2 linked regions of the Tamandua tetradactyla genome follow. The protein of the gene in region 1 interacts with the protein of each later gene in a biochemical or structural test. Links are inferred from orthologs where the notes say so. Each region holds a gene or a part of one and is shown in the gene's direction. Other genes may lie near its edges.

Evidence for each region.
Region 2: of the proteins of CHEK2 (region 1) and CDC25C, one has a biochemical effect on the other in vitro, tested with the Homo sapiens proteins (14 studies listed by BioGRID). The link is inferred for Tamandua tetradactyla from reciprocal best matches to the Homo sapiens genes CHEK2 and CDC25C.

What each region holds. Positions count from the first base shown.
Region 1 is NC_135331.1:34,297,193-34,307,924, forward strand, and holds the start of CHEK2 (serine/threonine-protein kinase Chk2), read left to right. Parts: upstream 1-5,804; 5' UTR 5,805-5,887; coding exon of another isoform or gene 5,888-6,123; 5' UTR 6,124-6,444; intron 6,445-6,475; exon of another isoform or gene 6,476-6,668; intron 6,669-6,792; exon of another isoform or gene 6,793-6,853; intron 6,854-7,174; 5' UTR 7,175-7,292; intron 7,293-7,395; 5' UTR 7,396-7,515; exon of another isoform or gene 7,516-9,219; 5' UTR 9,220-9,227; coding exon 9,228-9,570; intron 9,571-10,732. Other genes in the region: iron-sulfur cluster co-chaperone protein HscB, read right to left, coding at 3,713-3,857, 4,440-4,529, 4,888-4,984, 5,888-6,123. UniProt on the Homo sapiens protein: Serine/threonine-protein kinase which is required for checkpoint-mediated cell cycle arrest, activation of DNA repair and apoptosis in response to the presence of DNA double-strand breaks.
Region 2 is NC_135346.1:17,997,316-18,008,047, reverse strand, and holds the start of CDC25C (M-phase inducer phosphatase 3), read left to right. Parts: upstream 1-5,773; 5' UTR 5,774-5,807; coding exon 5,808-6,001; intron 6,002-6,733; coding exon 6,734-6,843; intron 6,844-7,519; coding exon 7,520-7,565; intron 7,566-8,862; coding exon 8,863-8,896; intron 8,897-9,006; coding exon 9,007-9,096; intron 9,097-10,080; coding exon 10,081-10,179; intron 10,180-10,732. Other genes in the region: oocyte-specific histone RNA stem-loop-binding protein 2-like, read right to left, coding at 2,074-2,164, 2,307-2,459, 3,530-3,634, 3,731-3,826, 4,624-4,667. UniProt on the Homo sapiens protein: Functions as a dosage-dependent inducer in mitotic control. Tyrosine protein phosphatase required for progression of the cell cycle. When phosphorylated, highly effective in activating G2 cells into prophase.

The sequences.
Region 1 (10,732 bases):
AGCTGTGGGTTTTTCATATATTCCCTCTATCATTTTAAGGAAGTTCCCTTGTATTCCTATTTTTTGAAGTGTTTTCAACAGGAAAGGATGTTGAATCTTGTCAAATGCCTTCTCTGCATCAATTGAGATGATCATGTGATTCTTCTATAGACTTGTTTTAATTGGGACATTTTCTCGGCCTTAGAACTGTAAACTAGTAACTCATTAAATTTCCCTTTTTAAAAGCCATTCTGTTTCTGGTATATTGCATTCCAGGAGCTAGCAAACTAGAACACATACTATCTAATTAAACTGTCTGGTCAGTGTATATAAACAACCTAAATACAAGGAACCTAAAATTGGGAATGAGATCTTGTTACTCCATACAGCTTAATGTAAAACTCTGATATATTCCCAAGAATTTTGGGCAGAAAATAAAAAAGTTTTTACAAAGTCCCCTTGAGGGACTGGAGAAAAAATGTGGAACTATTAAACTTCCCCACCTGGGTAATTCCTGATATTCTCTCAAGCATCAGAGACTCCCAGTTTAAAATGTCAAACCCTCAATTTTGAGACTTGTCCTGGTGAAACCTATTTCAGCAATGGTAAAGCTAAGTCTACTTTATAATTATGCCTAAGAGTCACCCCCAGAGAACCTCCTTTGTTGCTCAGATGTGGCCTGTTTCTCTACGCCAACTCTGCAAATAAACTCATTACCCTCCCCACTAGGTGGGAAATGACTCCCAGGGATGAGCCTGGCCCTGGCATTGTGGGATTGAAAATGCCTTCTTGACCAAAATGGGGAAAAGAAATGAAACCAAGTAAGGTTTCAGTAGCTAAGAGATTTCAAATAGAGTTGAGGCTATTCTGGAAGTTACTCTCATACAAGCTTCTGCCAGATACTGCAAGTTGACAGAGTATGTCAAGCCCCAGCCAACAGTATTCCTAGAAACTGTAAAGAACACGCTGGGCTCTATCTAAGACTTTATAAATATTCAACTTAGTGAGTTTATTTTTTCAGAAACTTAAGGCCTCCAGATTGTTCCTATGCCAGATAAAGCCCTGAAACCCAGATGTACCAGTCTAAGGACATCAACCAGTCTCATTCTTCTATTTCATAAATTTGACACCCCTTTCCAGAACAAAGAAGCCAAAATGATCATTGCTCAGAGGTTCTGAAGACTGAGAGAATGATCAGCTGAGAGGGAGGAGGTGTAAACTGAGAAATTAGGATTTAACAGATGATTACGACTTCTGGCTCATGATATAGACATTTCATTTTAGTTTCTAGTGTATCAGAATAGTCAGAAGGAAATACCTGAAATTGTTGAAGTGTAATCCTGTAGCCTTGATTCCTATAGCTATGTAGCTTTAATTATAAGACTGTGTGATTGTAAAAAATTTATGACTGACACTCCCTTTATCCAGTGTATGAGTAGATGGGTGATGAAATAAAGACATGCATAGAAAAAAAAAATTATTGTAGGTCGAGAATATGGGGAAAATACTATGTAAATTATGAATAGTCGTTATAGTACTACTTCAATAATCATCAGTTGTTAACAAATGTTTAACTACTGTTAAAAAAACAGAATTTACCAAAAAAGTATCATCAGTTGTAACAAATTTTCCACACTAATGCAAGTATTGGTGGTGGGGTGGTGTATGGGAATCCTGTATTTTATGTATGATCTGTAAATCCAGAACTTCTCTATTGAAAAAATTAAAAATAAAATAAAAAAAAAAGATCATATAAGTGTAGAGTAGTGATACAGGTAAGAGATAATGTAGTTTGAAACACGGTGGTGGCAGTGAAAATAGAGATGGGTACATGGATTTGAGACACTCTTAGGAGGTCAACTCTTCATGGCTTGGTGACAGATTGTCTATGGGGATAAGGGAGAATAAGGCTGTTAAGGACGTCTCCTTAGTGTTCGACTTGCACAACTGGATGGTGACATTTTCTTGGGGAGGGAAAATTGGGAGAGGAGTAGTTTCACTTTTTTCTTTCGGGGTGGTAGCGGTAAGGAAGAACCTCGTGAATTCCATTTTGGACATATGGAGCTGGAATATGTAAACTCTATGAAGGGATGGGCCACGTCTTTCTTAGTTCACTGCTGTATTCTTCAGTGTCAAGCTTGGTATGTGACACACAGTGGGCACATCCCAAACATCTGTGAAAGAACACGAATGCATACAGTCTGAGTGAAAACTGTGGAGCCTGTTCTATGGAATAATATGGAAAATGCAGCAATAAGAGCTCAGAAGAACATGGTTTCAATGTGTATCTGCTGTGTATCTGTTGTGTGGCCTTAGGCATTTCCATTAACTTCTGAAGCCCTTTTTCCTCATTAGACATAGTACCTTTTTTTTTCTACTGGAACACAGCTCTATGGTCTCAGGCACTTCCCTCTAGCCTCTCTAATACACCTTAAACTAAAAAGGGGATGTCTATACAATGAGTAAGAATAACCTCCAGGATAACCTCTGGACTCTGAAATCTCTCAGCCACTGACACTTTATTTTGTCTCATTTCTCTCTTCCCCCTTTTGGTCAAGAATGTTTTCTCAATCCTTTGATGCTGAGCCCCAGCTCATTCTAGAATTTCTGTCCCACGCTGCAAGGGAAGTTTACACCCCAGGGAGTCATGTCCCATGTAGAGAGGGGAAGGGCAGCGACTTTGCTTGCTGTGCTGGCTGAAAGGCCACATCTGTGGTGACAAAAGAGGTTCTCTGAGTGTGACTCTTAGGCCTAATTTTAAGGAGGCTTAGACTATTCTTTGCAGGGTAAGTTTCATATGAAAAACCCCAAGATTAATTGCTCCGCCTACTGATTCAGTTGTCCCCACTGCTTGTGAAAATATTAGGCATTCTCCAAATGGGGAAGTTGAATTTTTTCCCCTTTCTCACCATTCCCCCAAGGGGATTTTGCAATTACATCTTTATTCACTGTTCAAATTACTCTGGGATTTATCGGGGCATCACACTGGACAAACCTACAAAATCGCATGCCCTATTCAAAGTTCCATGTACTTACGGTGTTCAATTAACCTGTCCATATAAGCTATATTAGGAAATGTACTAGACGAAATATAAATTTTGAACTAAATAAACTTTTTTTTGCTTTAGTCTCACACAGAAATTGAGGTTTTAAAATATAAATGACCATCTATTTTCAACACCCTGCAATATTCCTTTGTTCTTCCTCATGCATAAATGTTTTTTAATTTGTACATTTAGTCACTATCATTGTACACTCAACGCATTTCTCGACTATATCATCTCAGTCTTTATTGTCTATCTTTCCTTCTGGTTTCATATGTGCCCCCAGCCCTCCTCCCTCTATCCTTCTCACATTCAGCTTCATTCAGTGTACTTACATTATTGTGCTACAATCAGGTAACATTGTGCTATCCATCTGAGTTTCAACAATCAGTGCTGTTGCACAATCTGCGTCCCTTTAGCTCCAATTAATAGTATCTTAATGAAGGAACATTATAATCATCAAAATAGTCTTTCATTCTTGGTTACCAGAGATTTAATCCTCTTGCCTTGCAAATGGTTAGGGATGCTGCAAGACTAATCTCCAGACAAAAGTAGTTTGAGTATGGTCAAGAAAAAAATATTCCCTGAATCATTATGACCTCCAATGCATTTACATGCATTTTTCACTTAACTTTAGACATGTACTCATATTAGCAATTACATGAATTTGGGGGTATTTTATTTTTTACCTCTAACAATGGATTCTACTTCTTTTGTGGCAGCTTCACTTTGAGCTTCTGCGAGTTTTTCATTGATTTCCATTATTTGCATGAGGAATTCCCTGTCCATTTCATAATCTGTCCCTTCATCAATCTCGATTCCACAGAGCTTTAGCTATTGGGGCATAAAGTAGGGAAAATAAGAAACTATGGCTAGAGTCATGCAAATCTTACTCACCCTTCAGAACATGCTTTCTCTTATGAGGAAAACTTAAGTTGAACCAATAACAAAAGCATGAGGGCAGAGTGCCAATAGCCTGAACCAGGGACAGGACACTGGGTCTAGATCCCACGCTACTTGCAACCATGTGACGCTTGGGGAGTCATTCTTCCATTCAGGGGACTGAACTGAATGTTTGTAAAGTTTCTATTCAATTCTAGAATTTTCTGGATTCTAAGATGCTTATCTCTTCCTCCCAAAACAAAGCAAAAATTGCCTTTCTCCAAAAGCCATCACCATCAAATCCTTGAAATTTATGAAAAATGGTTTAAGAAGATGCATTTGAGGCAAGTAACATTTGCAGAGAAAACTACATTCATGTAGTATCTTACAGACTAAATACTGTTCCGTTTCTGGACTAATTCAGGTCTCAAGTATTTCTCAAGTAATCTTTTGCTTAATACAGGGGGGGCAACTGTCTCACAGTACAATGGATATCAGGCAGTCACACGGGGAAGGGTTGGGAAATCACCTTACCAGGTATAGTCCCCTGCTTAGGGGGGCCAGAAGAGTCTTATAGGCCTCATTCACCAGGGCTGAATGCTTCTCTGAGAAGTCCTTTTCAGTCTGTTAGAGTGAAATGAAGATAGCCTTATTATCGTCCAAATCAGCCATCTTACATTGACAAATTATTTTATAAAATGCTGCTGGGAGAAACCTAAGGAGGTAGCCAAAGTACAAAGTGTAAGTGCTGTGGGATAAGTAGTCTTTATTTTCAACTGACCAGTTCGAGACTTTTCTGGGAAGTCAGATAAAAGCTGTGAGTGCTTGACAACTCCAGGGCTTGCCTGGCAGGGGTCAGGCTGTCACAGGGTGGAGCTGAATGTCCAGCTCTGTTCCCGAAAATCACATAACCACAGGCTGCTACTACCCACCCAGTTTGTACATATGTGTTCGGTATGATTCAGGGTGCCAACAAGGCTACCTGAGACCTCTTGCTGAAAAAATCTGGATGGATAAGACGCTGTAGTTGCTGGTACTTATGCTGGAGCTTGGTGGTGTCAACTCTGAAGGAACGGTTGCTGAAAAGAAATCAGGAGATTAAATTCATCTAACAAATAAAGATTTGTCTACCATAGGCCTGGTTCCTGTTTTCATGAGGGAAGATGCAAAAAATAAGGAAACAGGGATAATTTTCAAAAGTGGTAGGTGCTACGAAAAAAAAACAAAACAGGGTCATAAAGATGGGGTGGGTGAAGAGATAATTCAGGTGAGACCTGAATGATGTGGATCAGGGAATACAAAGGCCCTGAGGTAGGAACAAGGTCAGTACTCCTGATGAACTTAAAGACTAGCATAACTGCAGTACGTAGTAAGTGCTAAGTGTCAGGTGGAGTCCGATCCTAGAGTTGAGGGAAGGGATAATCCTGAATCCCACCCCATCTTTCCAAGGCCCTTCATCCCCATCTTCCAGTTTCCTTTAATCCAATCTTTTCATTTTCTCTTCCCATTGTCTGTCCAATGACACGACCAGTCCAGTTCCATCTAGACGTCACCACCTCTTTAAGTTTCTTACCTTTCAGAACAAAAGGGGGCAATACCCATTTCTCAACCCTTACCTTCTAATTCCCAGGCTTTCTTATAACCCCTTCCACAATTTTAAATTTTTCGTGCTTTTATATCCTCATCTTGGGCTACACCTCAATATTCCTTTCTTTAATCTCATCCAACGTTAAACTTCCTGATCTTGCCTCTCAAGTTCCCTCTTTCCCGGCCCCGCCCCTTAACTCCCGCCCCCGGCCCCCCTCAGGGCGAATCCCAACCTTCCTGCTCCCAGGCCCGGTCCCCAACCCCTGCTCTCCAGGCCTCCACCCACCTTCCTTCTCAGTTCCACCTCCTTCCCAAGCCCGGTCGGCCTTGCCCTCTCGCAGACCGATCCCGGACGTCTCTTGCCCCGGCCCATTTCCCGAAGCCTCTGCCCGTACCAATTCATGAGGCTGAAGTAGTCACGCGAGGGGTCGGGGGGCTGCAGCGCGCGGCACTGCGGACAGAAGAACGCGTCCCCCAGCACGGCGCCCCCGGGGCCGCCGCACTTCCAACATCGGGAGGTGTTGCTTCGCGCCTGGGACGCAGCACTGGAGCTCAGCGGTCCCCTCCCGGGAACCCCTGCCAGCCACAACTCCCATACCCGGAGCAGGACTCTGGCCCTACCACCCCACATTTGGCCCGCTGCCTCAGTCGCCGCGGTCGCTAGTGAGCAAAAGGGGGTGTGGCTGGCCGATCAGATCCGTGCTGCTGATTGGCTGCTGGACCCGAGGGGGCGGAATCACCGGGGGAAACCTGGAAGCCGAGTTCCGCTCTGCGACCTAAACTACAACCCCCAGTGGGTTCTGAGGCTACGCTTTGACGACTACATCCGCGGCTTCTAATTGGTCCAACCACGTCGGAGGGTGATTTGATTGGATCAGGGCGGCGTTTGTATCTGCCGTTTAGCGCCACTCAGGCGCTGCCATGAGTGTGCGGCTCCTCTGGGACTCGCGTGGTGAGTCATGAAGGGGAGCTTTTCTTTTGTATTTGGGGGTTCGAATCCCTTCCTCCCGGTCCTATGCTAGCGGCGTCTCCCGAGCTTCCGCTTTGTCGGATTTGAGTTCCCGCGGGAATGGGGGCGTAGCGACTCTTCCTTTTTTGTAGATAAACGTCGAGGTGAAGTTCACTTCCCCTCGTGACTTATAAGCGGAGACTGGCCCAGGCTTCTAGGATAGGAAGGTACAACGTTGTGCTCTTCAAAATCAGAGCGCGGTTGTTTTGTAAAGACTTCTATAGATGGTAGTAATTATTACCATGATTTGGGCTCAGTCTTAATTATTGACAATCTGCTCTTGGCTGCTAGGCGCTCCAGGAACTGGAAACCCACTTACCTATGTGGCAGGATGTCCTGCGAGCGTTCATAAGTAAGTGGACAGAATGGGGTGGTGGGAAATGGGCGGGCGGTACTAGTTTTCTTTGGGACTGAGTTTCTCTATTTGATAAACAGGTGACATTGCACTTGTAAAGTCTTTATGGCTATAGGTTTCTTTGGAACTGGAATTCTATTTACCAACTCTTTGGGACTGGAATTCTGTTTACCAACCCTGGAATATTGCTGACATGACTTGGGTTCTTCACTTCCCACGTTGCATGGCTTTCTGATAAGACTAGCTCCCAGTTGCTGAGGGAAGGGGTATTACATACTTCACCTCTTCAATCCTCACGGTATATGTGCTCTTTTTCAGATGAGGAAACTGAGGCTCGGAGAGATTGTGACCTGCTCAGAGTCAATTAGAGATTTGACTCAGGAACCTGACTCCAGACCTGTATGCCACTCCACGACACTTTCGCCCCATTGCTGAGGCAAGAGTGGTCCCAGTCTGGGCTCTTTATTACTGTCTGAGTGGGCCTTGTCATCAGCAATGATGGCACCCAACTCTTGACACCCTCAGTCTTTCTTTATCAGGGCTGGAACTGGAGGCAGCCTGAGAAGAAGCCTTGCTCAGAAAGCTGCAGGAGAACTCAACCTGGCCCTGGCCCTGTTAAACCAGAAGGTCCTGGAGTGGCAAACTCATTCATCTTCCTGGTGTGTTTTAAGGAAAACTCTTCAGGGCCTTTGCATCTTGAAAGCTATGTAAATGCAGTGTTTATGGTGTGCTACTGGAGGATTAGGTCTGAGTGTGGGGAGCAGGAAAGAAGGAACTCATTAAAAAAAAAATCAGATTAGATCAGCATTGCAAGTTGTTTTGACTCTAGCTACCAGAGATACTGTTATGGGGTATAAGCTGCCCATCAGTTAATTCTAAAGCAAGGGTGGGCACCTGTGTTATGGTCTCTGACTCTTGGGAATGATTCCTGCAAGGTTTCATCTGAGCTGCAAGGTCTTTTGGGATGCTGAAAAGATGAGCTCCATAGTTACTTAGCATCACAAAGAGCTGGGTGGCATTTAGAGCAGTTTCCTTTTTCTTCTCAGAATCCCAGCCCTGAATTAGAAGTGCAGGAATCTGGAATGAATAAAGGACATGGTATCTCCCTTCAAGAAGGAGGTCTGACAGGGAGGGTTATCAGTTTATGTTTATGTTGTGCAGCAAATTACTGTTGTTTCTTTTTTGCATAGTCTGTCCCAAAGCACCTGACTCTTCCCCTTCTTTCTGCAAAATATATATGAAAATTTAAGTTTTGTGTTGATTGTATAAATGAATATGTTTTAGATTTCATTCCTAATTAAAAAAAAGGAATGAAAGTAAACTTACAAGTCTTCCACACACCCCAAGCTCAATTACACTGCTTTTTTTAAAAAAAGATTTTACTTTTAGAATAGTTTTAGATTTATAGAAAAATTGTGCAGAAAGTACAGAGAAGCCCCATATTCCCCCTCTCTGCCCCATGCAGTGTCTCATATTAAGGTCTTGCATTAGTCTGGTACATTTACAATTGTACAGTTGGTACAAACTTTGTTAGAATTGGTGAATCAATGTTGATACATTATTATTAATTGAAATCCACAGTTTACATTAAGTTTCACTCTGTGTTGTACAGTTCTATGGGTTATGAAAAATGGAGAGTATCATGTATTCAATATTATAGTATCATGCAGAATAGTTTGACTGCCCTAAAAAAGTGCCCTTTGCTCCACCTATTCATCTCCCTCCTCCTTCTTCCCTGGCAACAATGATAGTTTTGCCCGTTTCCAGAATGTCATCTGGTTTGAATTATATAGTATGTAGTCATTTCAGACTAGCTTCTTTCACATAGCAGTATGCATTTAAATTTCCTCCCTGTCGTTTCATGTCTTGATAGCTCTTTTTATTTTTAAATAGTTTTCCTTTGTGTGGATATACCTACAGTTTATTTATCCATTCATCTATTGAAGGGTATCTTGGTTGTTTCCAGTTTATGGCAATTATGGGTAAAGTGTCCATAAACAGTCATGTGCAAACTTATGTGGGCATAAATTTTGAACTCATTTGGGTAAATACCTAGCAGCACAGTTGCTGGATTGTATGGTAAGCCTATATTTCGCTTTAGTTACGTTGCCTTATACCTATCTGTAGCTTTCACATAACCCCTCACCCCCTTTTGGTTTGCAGCTCTTAGAAAAAACTGGTTTAGTGAAAGTGATCTGATGAAAAGCTTAGACCAGAAGAACTATAGGCCTAGAGTGTTAGAATTTTAATTTTTGCGGAACATGCTGGATAATTTTTTATGGTTGTAGTGTACCTATCCTTTACTCTTGAACTTTAAGTCTTGTTAATTGTAACTCACTTTGTTGTTGGACACTTACGTTTAGAGGTCGTGATGTCTCGGGAGAAAGATGTGGAGTGTCAGCAGTCCCCCAGCGGCACCTCCTCGCAGCCTCAGGGTTCTGCCTCTCAGTCCCACGGTGCTGCCTCCCAGTCCCTGGGTGCCTCCTCGCAGTCCTACGCTGCTGCCTCCCCGTTCCAGGGCACGTCCAGCTCTTCTTCCAGCACTGTGCCTACCTCCAGCCAGTCGTCACACTCCAGCTCGGGGACTCTGAGTTCCTTAGACACAGTGTCTACTCAGGAACTCTATTCTATCCCGGAGGACCAAGAACCAGAGGAGCCAGTCCCTGCCCCTTGGGCTCGTTTATGGGCCCTCCAGGATGGGTTCACCAATCTTGGTAAGACCCTTTGTTATATAGTGTAATGCTTTGTTCTAAAAAACAATTACAGAAAATTGTGGCAGCAGACAGCTTGGGATACCCCTGGAATGATTCTAGAATTTGAAGATGATGAATGATGAAACAGAGGAAACAGTGTTGGGTGGCACACTGGTTCTTACTTGCTTTTGGGTTTCCTTAATTTTTCCAACAATTTTTTATTGGTGGGTATATGCAACATGCTGTCCATCTGAAGAGAGCCGTGGACACTGCCCCCTGAAAAGTGCAGCTTCATGCAAAATTGCTAACATTTCTTATTGAATCTCAGAAGCTTTGCCAACTAATAACCTTGCTGTGGTTTTTGGTGGCTTCAGAGCATCAGTTTTGTAGTATCAGAGCTAGGTAAGGCTATTTCTTGGTTATCTGTTATTTGTTCTTATCTCAAAATAGCTGACCTTGCAATTTAAATACAATTATTCTCTCACAGCAACTATTTCAATAGAAAGACTTTGCTATAGGTAAATTTGAAGCTTTTTTCCTCCTCAGATTAGAATGATCTCTTTGTTTAAAAAAAAGTTTGACATTGAAATAATAGAAAATAATGTGGAGAAATGAATAACATTCTGTACCTTGTCACTACCCCTCCCTTTAATTTAATGTCCAACTTTGATAAGTTGAATAAATGGTAAAAATAAATGATATAGTGACATTCCATATCTTTTACCCATTTAAGCCATATTTTAAAAATAGGCTTGGGGTTTAGGTATGTTGAGTGGGGAAGAGGGAAATGATGAGGAAGAGTGAATTGGAATGCATCACCTTTAAAAGTGAGAATATATGAAAAGCTGGATAGAGAAATCAGCATAGAGTAGATGCTCAGCATTTAGGAGCTATATATTATTATTACTTATCATTGATTTACATTTGTGATTTCTTCTAAGCGTTGTATAGTTTTAGTTCTTAGATTTAGATCTTTGATCCATTTTGAGTGGTTTTTTTGTATGAAATAGGGGTCCAAATTCATTGTTTTGCATGTGAATATCCAGTTCTCCCAGCATCATTTGTTGAAGGCAGTGTTCTTTCACCATTGAATTGTCTTGACACCATTGTCAAAAATTAAACTTGGGTTTGTTTCTGGACTCTCAATTTTTTTTTCTCCTTTTTTTTTTTATTTTTAAAAATT
Region 2 (10,732 bases), on another chromosome or scaffold:
AGAGAGACAGGCAAAAAGAATGAAAAAGGAGAGGTTTTGAACAATTGCTTTCCTGTTGTGATATCTCTTTGTAGGGCAGAATTTTAGATTTTTTTAATTGATTGGAAAGTAATAGTAATGCAAGTAATTTTCACTATTACACTTACAACAAGCCCCTGAAAGACATCTGTTTTCTCTAACTATTTTGTGCCCCACTCAGATCTGGGACAGGGTAAATGGCTGTGATCAGCTAGAAGTAGAGTCAGTGGTAGGGATCTTCTTCACAGAACCAGGGAAGGAAGGAGGCAGGAGCCACCGAGTCCACAGACTGAAAAAGAAAAGAGTAGAGGAAAGGTGAGGTACTTATCAAGAAGATAGGGGTGGGGGGAAGATTTACCTTGCACTACATATTTCTCCTTGGGGGGAAAAAAAAGAACAGAGAAGAAACCTTGACATATAGAAGACATGGTTTCCAATGTTGTGGAGCGCTTACATACCAGGCACTGTGCTATATTCTTGAAATAAGTATTCTCACTTTTGCTTACAATTACCAAGAGACAAAAACACAAAACAAGACAAAAAACAACCCTAATTTGGCAAATGAAAAAGCCCAAAGGATAAGTGACTGCCCAAGTGATGAGTAAAGGTAGTATTAAAAATCAATTCTGCATAGCTCAAATGACCCCAAAGAGAGGTATGGAAAGATCAAAGGTGATGGTGAAATTATACATAGAAGATAGGACTTAACAAATAAATATGAACGCTGGATCATTAAATTGATCTCTTTTAGTTTCCAGTATTTTAGAGGAGCTAGAAGTAAAAACCTAAAATTGCGAAACTGTAACCCATGTCAAAGTCTGAAATAGGTTCTACAACTAACTGTGGTGCTGTGCTTTGAAAGTTATAGCTTTTTTGTATATGTGTTATTATTCACAAAAAAAGAAGAAAAGTCAACTGTGGTAATAAAAAAGTATTTAAGTCCTCTAGCCTCCTATATTCTGGAGCAGCTAGAAGGAAAAATATGAGAGGATCGTATGGTAGCCCATGACAAACTCTGGGATCTGTCCAGTAACCACTTGTTGAAGAGTGCCTTGAAAACTGTTGCTTTTTTATTTCTTTGCTTTGTATATATGTTATACTTTACAATAAAAAAAGTTTAAAAAATCAATTCTGTAAATGTATTAAACTTGTACAAAGAACTAATAATAGAGTGGTATATGGGGGGAAAAGTACCTGTTACAAACCATGGACTGTAGTTAACAGTAATATCTTAATATTCTTTCATTAGCAGTAACTAACATACTACACCAAAACCAGGGGACAACAATAAGGGGTGATAAGGGGCATGGGGTATTCTGGGTTTTCTTTTTATTGTCTACTCTTTTTCTTTTTGGAGAAATGAAAATGTTCTAAAATTGATTGTGATGATAATTGCCCAACTAGGTGATGATACTGTGAGACATTTTATACTTTGAATGGATTATATGGTGTGTGAATTTATCTCAATAAAATTTGTAGTTAAAAAAAAAAATTAATTCTGCCCCCAGTACATCCAGAGGATGACCCTGTAGATGTGACACGAATCTGAGCTTCAAGGTACATTAAGCCATAAAACAAAACTAAAAACCCTGAAACCTTAAAGCCCTTGCTCTTCACCACTAGGCTATCCTCCTTTTTATTGTCATCCATCCTTCAAAATGTTAAATGATTGAGTAAAAGAAGTTAAGTTAGCATTGGCTCACTTGAAAAACACTTAAAAAAGAATTGACAAACTTAAAAAAAAAAAGTCAAGTTTCATACAAAGAAAACTTACATCAGCTTTCATCAAGTGAAAACAATACCTGCCCTTCCCCAGTGCCACCCAAAGGCCCACCCCCACCCTAACTATAATTAAATCTCCTTATACCATTCCTAGTTCTCAAGTGTTTTACTCATGTTCTGCTATTTTTTCTGTTGCCTCCTTTTCTTTCTTTTGTTCTTGTGCTACTACCTTGAACCCCATCTTAATTGTGACTTCATGGGCCAGTCCCTATCTTTGACTGTGCTCCAGTGGATTTCAGCAGAAGATACTACCTTCTGGTCTCCATCCAGATCCTATGAGGGTTCCAGGGCCTGGAGCTTGTCATCCAGTAGGTCATCCAAAGGGGTAGAATCCACTGGCTGTAAGAGTTTCTCCATTCCCTGCCTAGGAAGGCAGCACAGTCAGAGGAATATGCATCTCATACAGTCATTCCCTTTTCAGCCAGTGAAAGCTAAACCTCTGTTGGGTGGGGAGACGTAGGACTCAGCCCACCACTCACAGAAGGAACCAGAAATAGCAAACACACCCCTCATCCCCACTGCCCTGCAGAGTCTGGCTGGGGGGGTCCCAGGAATGCAGGGCTTTTCTCCACTGTCTGATCTGGGCATCCCAGGAGCGACGGCTGTACTTCTTGTTCTTGTTTGGAGTTTGAGGGTGAATCCCTGGCTGTCGCTGTGCCCTAGTAATGAGAAATGTGGGTCAGACTGAGGTCAAGGTGAAAGGGAGCCCCATATAATAGGGGGCACAACTCACTGCTTATCATAGTGAATGAGGAAATTTGTTAGTGATTCCTGAGAATGGTGTAAGATCCATGTTCTTGTGGAAGGCTGAGTTATGTGCCCCAGAAAAAAACATGTTCTTAATCATCAGCACTCCTGTGGGTGTGAGCCCATTATAAATAAGACTTCTTGAAGATGTTAGTTAAGGTTGGGTGCAACTGAATGAAGGTAGATCTTAATCTGGATTACTAGAGGCCTTATAAAGAGGACTTGGAGGTCAGAGAAGCCAGAAAGGAGAAGCTTTTGTAATGTGACTAGAGGCAGATAGACAAGCCAAGGAAATCCAAGGATTGCTGACAGGCAGCACAAGATGCTACAGACCCTCAGGAGAAAGCAAGCCTTGCTAACATCATGATTTTAGACTTCTTCTAGCCTCAAAACTGTAAACCAATAAATTTCTATTGTTTAAGCCATCCCATTGTGTGGTATTTGTTATAGCAGCATGGCAAACTAAGAGGGTCCTCAATCCAACAAGAAAAGTAAATCTTCCAATCACATTAAACACCAAACTTCTGACCTTCGGGAAAGGGTAAGTTAGATAGTCCCAGCTTCCTTGGAAGCCAAAATAGACATAAAAGACAGTGTTTATCTTCCCTTTAAAATGAATTCTACCTTTTCATACATTTAGTTTGTATATATACATGTAAATTTGCATGTAATTAAGCAAGTATGTTGCAATTATCCAACTCAGCTGGAAGCATGAGGGGATAGTAAAAGTGGTTGGAAGGAAAACTACCTCATTAGGAAACACAGGTAAAGCTTTAAAGTCTTATGGGCCAAGTATTACTTGTTCCATTAAAAAAAAAAATCTTAGAAACTTATCTTTAGGGCTAGATTGCAGGAGACTTGGTTTTAACAATGCTGTAACTTTGTGAGAGCACTCAGATTTTAGTATCTTTCCATCACCTGACATTGAAATACAACAACTTGGTTGACACCATTGTTGTCACCATCCCACAGGTGCACTCACTTGGGGACCTTTTGCAGAAAGCACTGATAGCCAGGTGTGCACTTGCCATAATCTATTTGTTTTTGCCGCCGCTGCAGGACAACTTCATCAGTCTCTACTTGCCACCTGCAGGAAGTCCATGTGAATTGTGATTAGAGGCATCAAAGTTGAAACTAACTCATCCCACACTCCCTTAAATCCCAGCCTGAGTCTCAAACTCACCTGGTATGACAGAGCTCTGTACTGACTCCCACGCTCACCATCTCTAGCCTAGAGGATAGAGACTCCTCACAAACTTCCTTTCTGGGGGAGCAGATTCTACAGATGAAGTGAGTATTAGGATAAAAGCCAGCTGCTACAATGCACCTCTCAACCACCACCATCACAACCACAAGATTCAGACACCAGATAAAGGTTGTATTTTTGACGGGTTTCAGAAGTGTGGGTTGGCAAACCACCTACATTGGCACCACCTAGGGACCTTAATAGTTCCTGAACCCTCTCTAAACCTATTGAATCAACAATTGGGGGCCTGCATTTTAAACATTTTTTTATTATTACGGAAAATTTCAAATACGTACCGAAGTAAAATAACATAATGCCTTGGTACATAAAGTGTGGTTCCAGGGCCAGCCACTGCGGCATCACCTGGAGGTTTACAAGAAGTGTAGAATCTTGTGCCCTCACCCAGACTTACTGAATCAGAGTCTGCATTTTAACAGTATCCCCAGGTGGGTAGTAACCGCATTAAACTTTGAGAAGCACTGACATCACACACCCCCATGCTTCTATTATCCAACACTCAAAGCCAGTCTTGTTTCATTTACATCCACCGCTGCTCCCGCCCCCGATTATTTAAAATAAAATCTCCAACATTAAGAATAATTTCTTAATATCACCTAGTCAGTGTTAAATATCCATAAACAACTAAAGTTGGAGATCCTTTCGATTGATAAGGATTATGCCAAGAAATGATCCAACTCCTCTATTTTCCGTGAAAAGGAATTTCCTTTTACCACAACCTAGCATCTCAGAGATGCCGCGCACTAAAAAGGGACACCGAACAAGGAAAGCGCTTGGAAGGGGTCAGTGCCGCGTTGCCTAAACACACACACCTGTCTCGCCCCAACACCTGCCACGCTGGCAATAAATGCTCCATCTCCAGAGATCGGCTAGCAAAACCAGGAAGTTAGAAGAGAAAGGTCCACATAACGGTACGAAAAAAGGAGCAAGGAAAAAATAACCGTTTCCAACACTCTCATCTAAATTAAACTCTCCAAATAATATCTTAGCGAGTGGTGGCCGCCTGTGGGGAACAATTTAAATCTCCCGGGTTGGTGGGGATGTAGTAAGGGAGAGCACAGGAAGGGTGTGGCGATTGGTCAGAGGAAGAGCCAATGGTGCATTAGGCTTCCTGGGGGGGCGGAGCTTACCAGAGGCTGGTGGGCCAATCGCTATCCTGCTCTGACTCCCGGGCGGGGCAAATCTTGCTCCTGGCAAGGCAACCTCGTACCCCCTGTACTGGCCAAATGATTGGCTGAAGGGAACTAGGCGGGTGCGCAGGGATTGGCTGACGCAGGTAGAGGCGAGCGGTGATAGGTTATTGGGACGGCGGAAGATTTGAATGGTCAAGGCCCGTTGCTTTTGGTATTCTTCTACCCAAACCGCGTAATTTCGACCCTCTGAGGAGACAACCCGCGAAACCAAACTCTGGCCTATTCAGTCGACAAGCAGAAGTGTACCCTGGTTAATTGTCACCGTTTCCAGGATTGGTTCTTCCTTTAATTCTGCTCGTCTTCGCTCGTGTCCGATCTTTCCCAGCTTCCCTTTCTCCTGAAGGCAAGGAGACCCCAAATTTGAGGTAAGCCTGGAGTTCTGAGTGTCTGTCACGGAATGACGGAGATCGCATTTTCTCCTCAGTGGTCAGGCCGGGTCCCGCAAACGGAAGTCCAGAGGACCGAATGGGCATTGTCGTGAGTTAAGAGTCCCGATTTCCGGTCAGGACTCGTGAGCTGTTTGCCCCGAACAAATAAAAACCCTCTCTTCATTCCAACTTTGAAGTCCTGAGATTGCCTCTCGGCTACTTCAGGTTCCACCGAAAAGGCCAAGCCTCTTTGGGCAAGTCAGATTTAACCTTCATAATAGGATGCGATTCACTGTTTGGGGATGCCGCTCCGATCCTGAAATGTTTTATCATGCTGGAAAGGGTGGGGGAGGTAACCTTGAAGGCTGGATGACCTAAGATGGTGTTCTCTTTCCACCCAGGCTTTATTTTTCCTTTGGTGAGAATTCGGACACCATGTCTGCAGATCTTTCCTCATCCACAAGAGAAGAGGGAAGCCCAGGCTCAAGGCCCACATTTAGGTGCAGTCAGAGGAAGAGGTTAAACTCGCTCCTGGAGAGAGACACTTCCTTTACGATCTGCCCAGATCTCCGTAGAACTCCAGTGGATAAAATCCTTTGTGATTCTGCAAACCTAAGCATTTTGTCTGGGTAAATGCACTTTTATCATCGCACTCTATCGCCTTTACCTTTCTAAACAGCTTTAAAAAAAAAATTGTCCTAGCTCAAAGACCTGAATTTAAAACTCAACTCTGCCCTTAACTAATTGTGAGACTCTTTTGAGTCTCAGGATGATTTTCTGTGATACGGAAGTAATAATCTCTCCCCTCATCCTGTTTTACTAGGATCATGTGAAGATCATATAACATGATGTTTAAGGAAAGTCTTCGCAAATTCTATAGCGTTGTGACTTGGTTAATTTTTACTACTAGTAGTAATGGTATTGTTCTTTTACTTTAAATCATGAACATGCATGTCCTGTTGTCTCAGCTAGCAAACAAAGTTGGAGAGTTATAGAAATGAGATGTACTAGAAACTCCAATGAGAAATCCAATCTGTGTGCTTACGGCGCACGGGGCAGTGGATGTGGGGTTAAAACCTATAGTTCAATAAATTTTAGTCCTCAGTTAAAAAAAAAATTATCCTGGTGAGGAGAAAATAAGATATAAGTTATTGGAGTAGAAAGAAAGTGAGATTTTTTCTCAGCCTAGTTGTTCTATTATCAGCCTGGAATACTTCCAAAAATATTTAGATTTATTTGGACATCAGTCAGATTTTGAGATTGTCATCAAAGGGTGTTTCAAATGAAGAAAGCAACATGATCTTTGTCTTTAAGGTTTCATGACCTAATGGGAATCTTGATGTTCTATTATGTCTCAACAGAGGAACTCCAAAATGTTGTCTTGATCTTTCGAATCTTAGCAGTGGGGAGATGTCTGGCACTCAACTTACCACTTCTGCAGACCTTGATGAAACTGGTAGGGAGGAGAGAGGTATAGCCATCAATGGGAAAAATAACTTAGGGATAGGACAGAGTTGTAGGGCAGAGAGGGAAGGTGGTGAGAATAAGTAAGAGAGGCTTGAAGTTTGAATTTTGTATGTAAGTAGAGGATTTTTGAGGAGAATGATTAAGCCAATGGGAAGAAAAAGTTAGCATTAAAAGGAGTCACTTTGCATTTGAGAAAGTTAGATAGGAAGGAATATTTTGTTAGCTGATTGATGGTAGGAATCAAAGTGTAATAAAATATGAGAAGTTTTGTGCCTTAGTCTAATTTCAGCAGAGGCAAAGAAACCAACATAAGGAAATACTTTGTCAACTAAGACTGTTTTTTTATAGGGTCTAAGTCTGAAATGGATGTGTTTCATAAGACAAAAGTCTAGTACTTGTTCTAATTTCAGATTTCCTGAGTGATAAGCTTTCTTTTTGGCTCATGAAAAAATCTCCATGGGTTAATATAGTATAGTATAGTTAGTGTAATATAGTATAGTTCTGGTTCCCAGAACCAGAATTTTTTCTTTAGGTGATGCATGTAAATTCTTGTATTTCTTGAATTTCTGTTTGTCAGGAGACTCAGTTTTTGGAAATACTATGGCTTACTGATGATGAAAATCAGAAGGAAAGACAGGGTGCATGAACAAGGATAACTGATTCTTCATGTCTGATTTCAGGACACTTGTATTCTTCAGGACCTCAGGAAATACAGTTAGCTGTGGTGTAAGTTTTTCTTTCTAAATGAACCGCACGCTACAACATTTTTAGCACTGATCATGGGGATTTTATCCTGTGTAGACTCTGCAAAGTACAGAATATTTCACTTTGGAGATAAGTGGGCTTTGAGATCCAAGTCATTCCCTCGAAAGGCTAAGTTTCCCGGATCTGAATAGTGTTGTGAAAATGTGCCTGATAGTTAAAATGAATTCAATCAGTGTTATCTTCAAAAATGAAGGAAAATGACATACTGTACTTGCATGTAGGCATAATGTTTATTATTACTGTTATAGATTCTTAACAATCTTAAAATTTTCAGACAAGGAATACTCAACAAATGCAACAAATTTTGATTCAGCTCTTCTTAAACTTATAAAAAGTTTTGCACTTGGCTGTTTTAATCCTTTTGGAGCTTTATCTTTCAGTGTTTAGGTGAAAGATGACTGTTTTTATCAATATGTGTGAAAATTTCACTTTGTATAGCTTGCATTTTCTTTGAATTGCTTAAAATGTCCTAACCCATGATGAAATCCTGAGAGAGAGGATGGAAATTCATAATTATTTTTCTTTATCTCTTAGAACAGCTTTAGGTTTACCGAAAAATCCTTCAGAAAGTACAGTATTCCCTATATGGCCCTGAACACACAGTTTGCCCTATTATTAACATTTTACATTAGTGTAGTACATATGTTACAACTGATGAACTGATATTATTAAATTATTAATTACAGTCCATAGTTTATCTTAGGGTTCACTCTTTCAGTTGTATAGTTTTTTCTAAGATTTTTTTAAATTGTGGTAACACTTAACACAATATAAAATTTCCCATTTTAACCACTTTCAAAGTGTTCAGTGATGTTAATTACATTCACAATGTTGTACTACCATCTGTTACCAAAACTTTTCCATCACCCCAAACAGAATTTAATCTCATTCAATTAAACATTATCTCTCCATTCTCCAACTCTACCTTAGTGTTAGAAATACATATTTACACCAACAGTCAACACTGAAAAATTAGTAACTAAAAATGATTATGTCTACATGAGATGAGAAAAAAACCACATTCATCTTTGTTACATATCCATAAATAGGATAATGCAAGTGAAGTGAGGGGATGTCACTTGCCATCTTGATATTTAGCTCTGAGAATATCCTATATATTATTATGGTAAGATACACATCAACCAGATGCAGGGCCCCTGGAACGGAAGAAAGGAAAAGGTGGGATGGGCCAGGCCACTGAAGAATGACCAGACAGTATTTGGGGCTTCACTCACTGACAGTTTGTTTTGGTCTGCAGGGATCATCATCAGCACCTTATGAAATACAGCCCAGTGAGTAATCCCTTTCTCTTGGATTTGGGTTTATTTCTCAGGTGGGCAGCAGAAGGTTTTACTTACCTGTGGCTTGAGGATTCTGGATGTTCTCAAAAATTCTTTTACAGGCACAGCTGCTGTGTAGCACTCCGAATACTTTGGACCATAACCACAGAAAGACAGATGCAATGTGTAGCTCACTTGCAAATAAAGAAAACGTAAGTGTTTTTACATTTAACCTTAGATAAATTAGCAGATTTCTTCCTTTGAATGGTGCAACTCAATGGTAGCATTGTGAGACCTAGAGCTATTCATACCTTACTATGCTAAACTATAGGGAAAACAATTCTTTTTGGATTGTTCATTTGCTTTGTTTTTTCTTTTTTTAAACGTTGACCCTAGGATAGAAACCTAGCTCCAAGTCCTCCACAGCAGGCCGTTGTTACTACTCATACTTGATCATTTTGAGGACAAAAATCCATATTATAGTAGTGTAAGGAATTGAGGATTTATTTATTTATTTATTTTTAGCAGAGGGAAATAATTATATGAACATAATTTGTTCACAAATTCATTGCAAAATTTCCCATTCAAGGCTAGATTCTTAGTTTCTTCTTATTTCCTCCTTAGCCTAGCTTCTTAGCTAATATTCTGAGAAAGCCGTGGTCCTTTTTGTCTAAGCCTCAGACCATCCTTCAGTTATAAATTGAAACTTGTCCCTCCAGAGCCACCCAATTACTAAAATAATCCTCTAATCCCTTCAATTAATTCCCTTTTCTAACCTTCTTTTACTTTTCTCTGTCCCTTCTCTTATTCCAGGTCAGTATCCACAAAAGATAACTATTTTTCTTTTCTCACCTTCACTAAGATACACCCATGATTTGGGCTGTTCTAATCAGCTTTTTCCTGATTTAATACTGTCTTTTTAATCTCCTTTTATTGTCAGGTTTTTAAATCTCATCAACCCCTCCCCTATCAGGCTTGGTTCTTTCCTGATCCTTTTGCTTATGATCATAAAATTAGCATGCTCTAAAGCAAATCTAAATCATAATTTGTATCTTCAGGATATAGGGTCAATCTTTATTACACATAATGTGCTTCATGAGGTTTATTCCTGTCCTAATCTAAAAAAATATTTTTGGCTGGGCTGATAATGCCTTTCTTCCTCTAGCCAATGCAGTTTTTTTTTTTTTTTAATGCAGAAAAACAACACTTTGAAGCCTTTGGAGTGGCAGGCACCCAGGAAACTAAAGTTTCAGAAGAGAGCAGGGGGACCTTATGTCTCTCCCCTTTCTCTGCTGGTGAGTCCCTGATCATTGTCTTTAAGGGTCAGCAGTAGATATTGTAGAGGACAGAATGTCAGATCTGCATTTATGAACTTTTGAGTTTTTCTATGCTGAATTGGGTGAGAAAAGGGACTGTAGAAGTGAGTTTGAGCGGGGAAAGGGGGGAGGTGTATGTCCTCTGATCATTTTAGTGGTTTAAACTAAAGAAGAGAAGAAATTCTTTGGCCTTTTTCCCCCTTCTACTTTATTCTGTTTTAATAAAAAGCAGTTTTATTGAAATAAATTCACATACCATACAATCCATCTAAAGTATACACTGACTTCTAGTAAATTCAGGGAGTTGTGCATTCATCACCACAATCAATTCTAGAACATTTTCACCCTCAGGAGGGTTCACTATATTATACAGTCCCATGTTTCATCCTCTGGCTTTCCGTCTAATGACAAACACCACCCTAAACTTTCTCTTTCAACCACAACTGCACCCCTACATCATCACTGTTAATTACAGTCACTAAAATGCGCTATTATCACCTCCATCCATTTTCAAACATTCACAATCACCCTT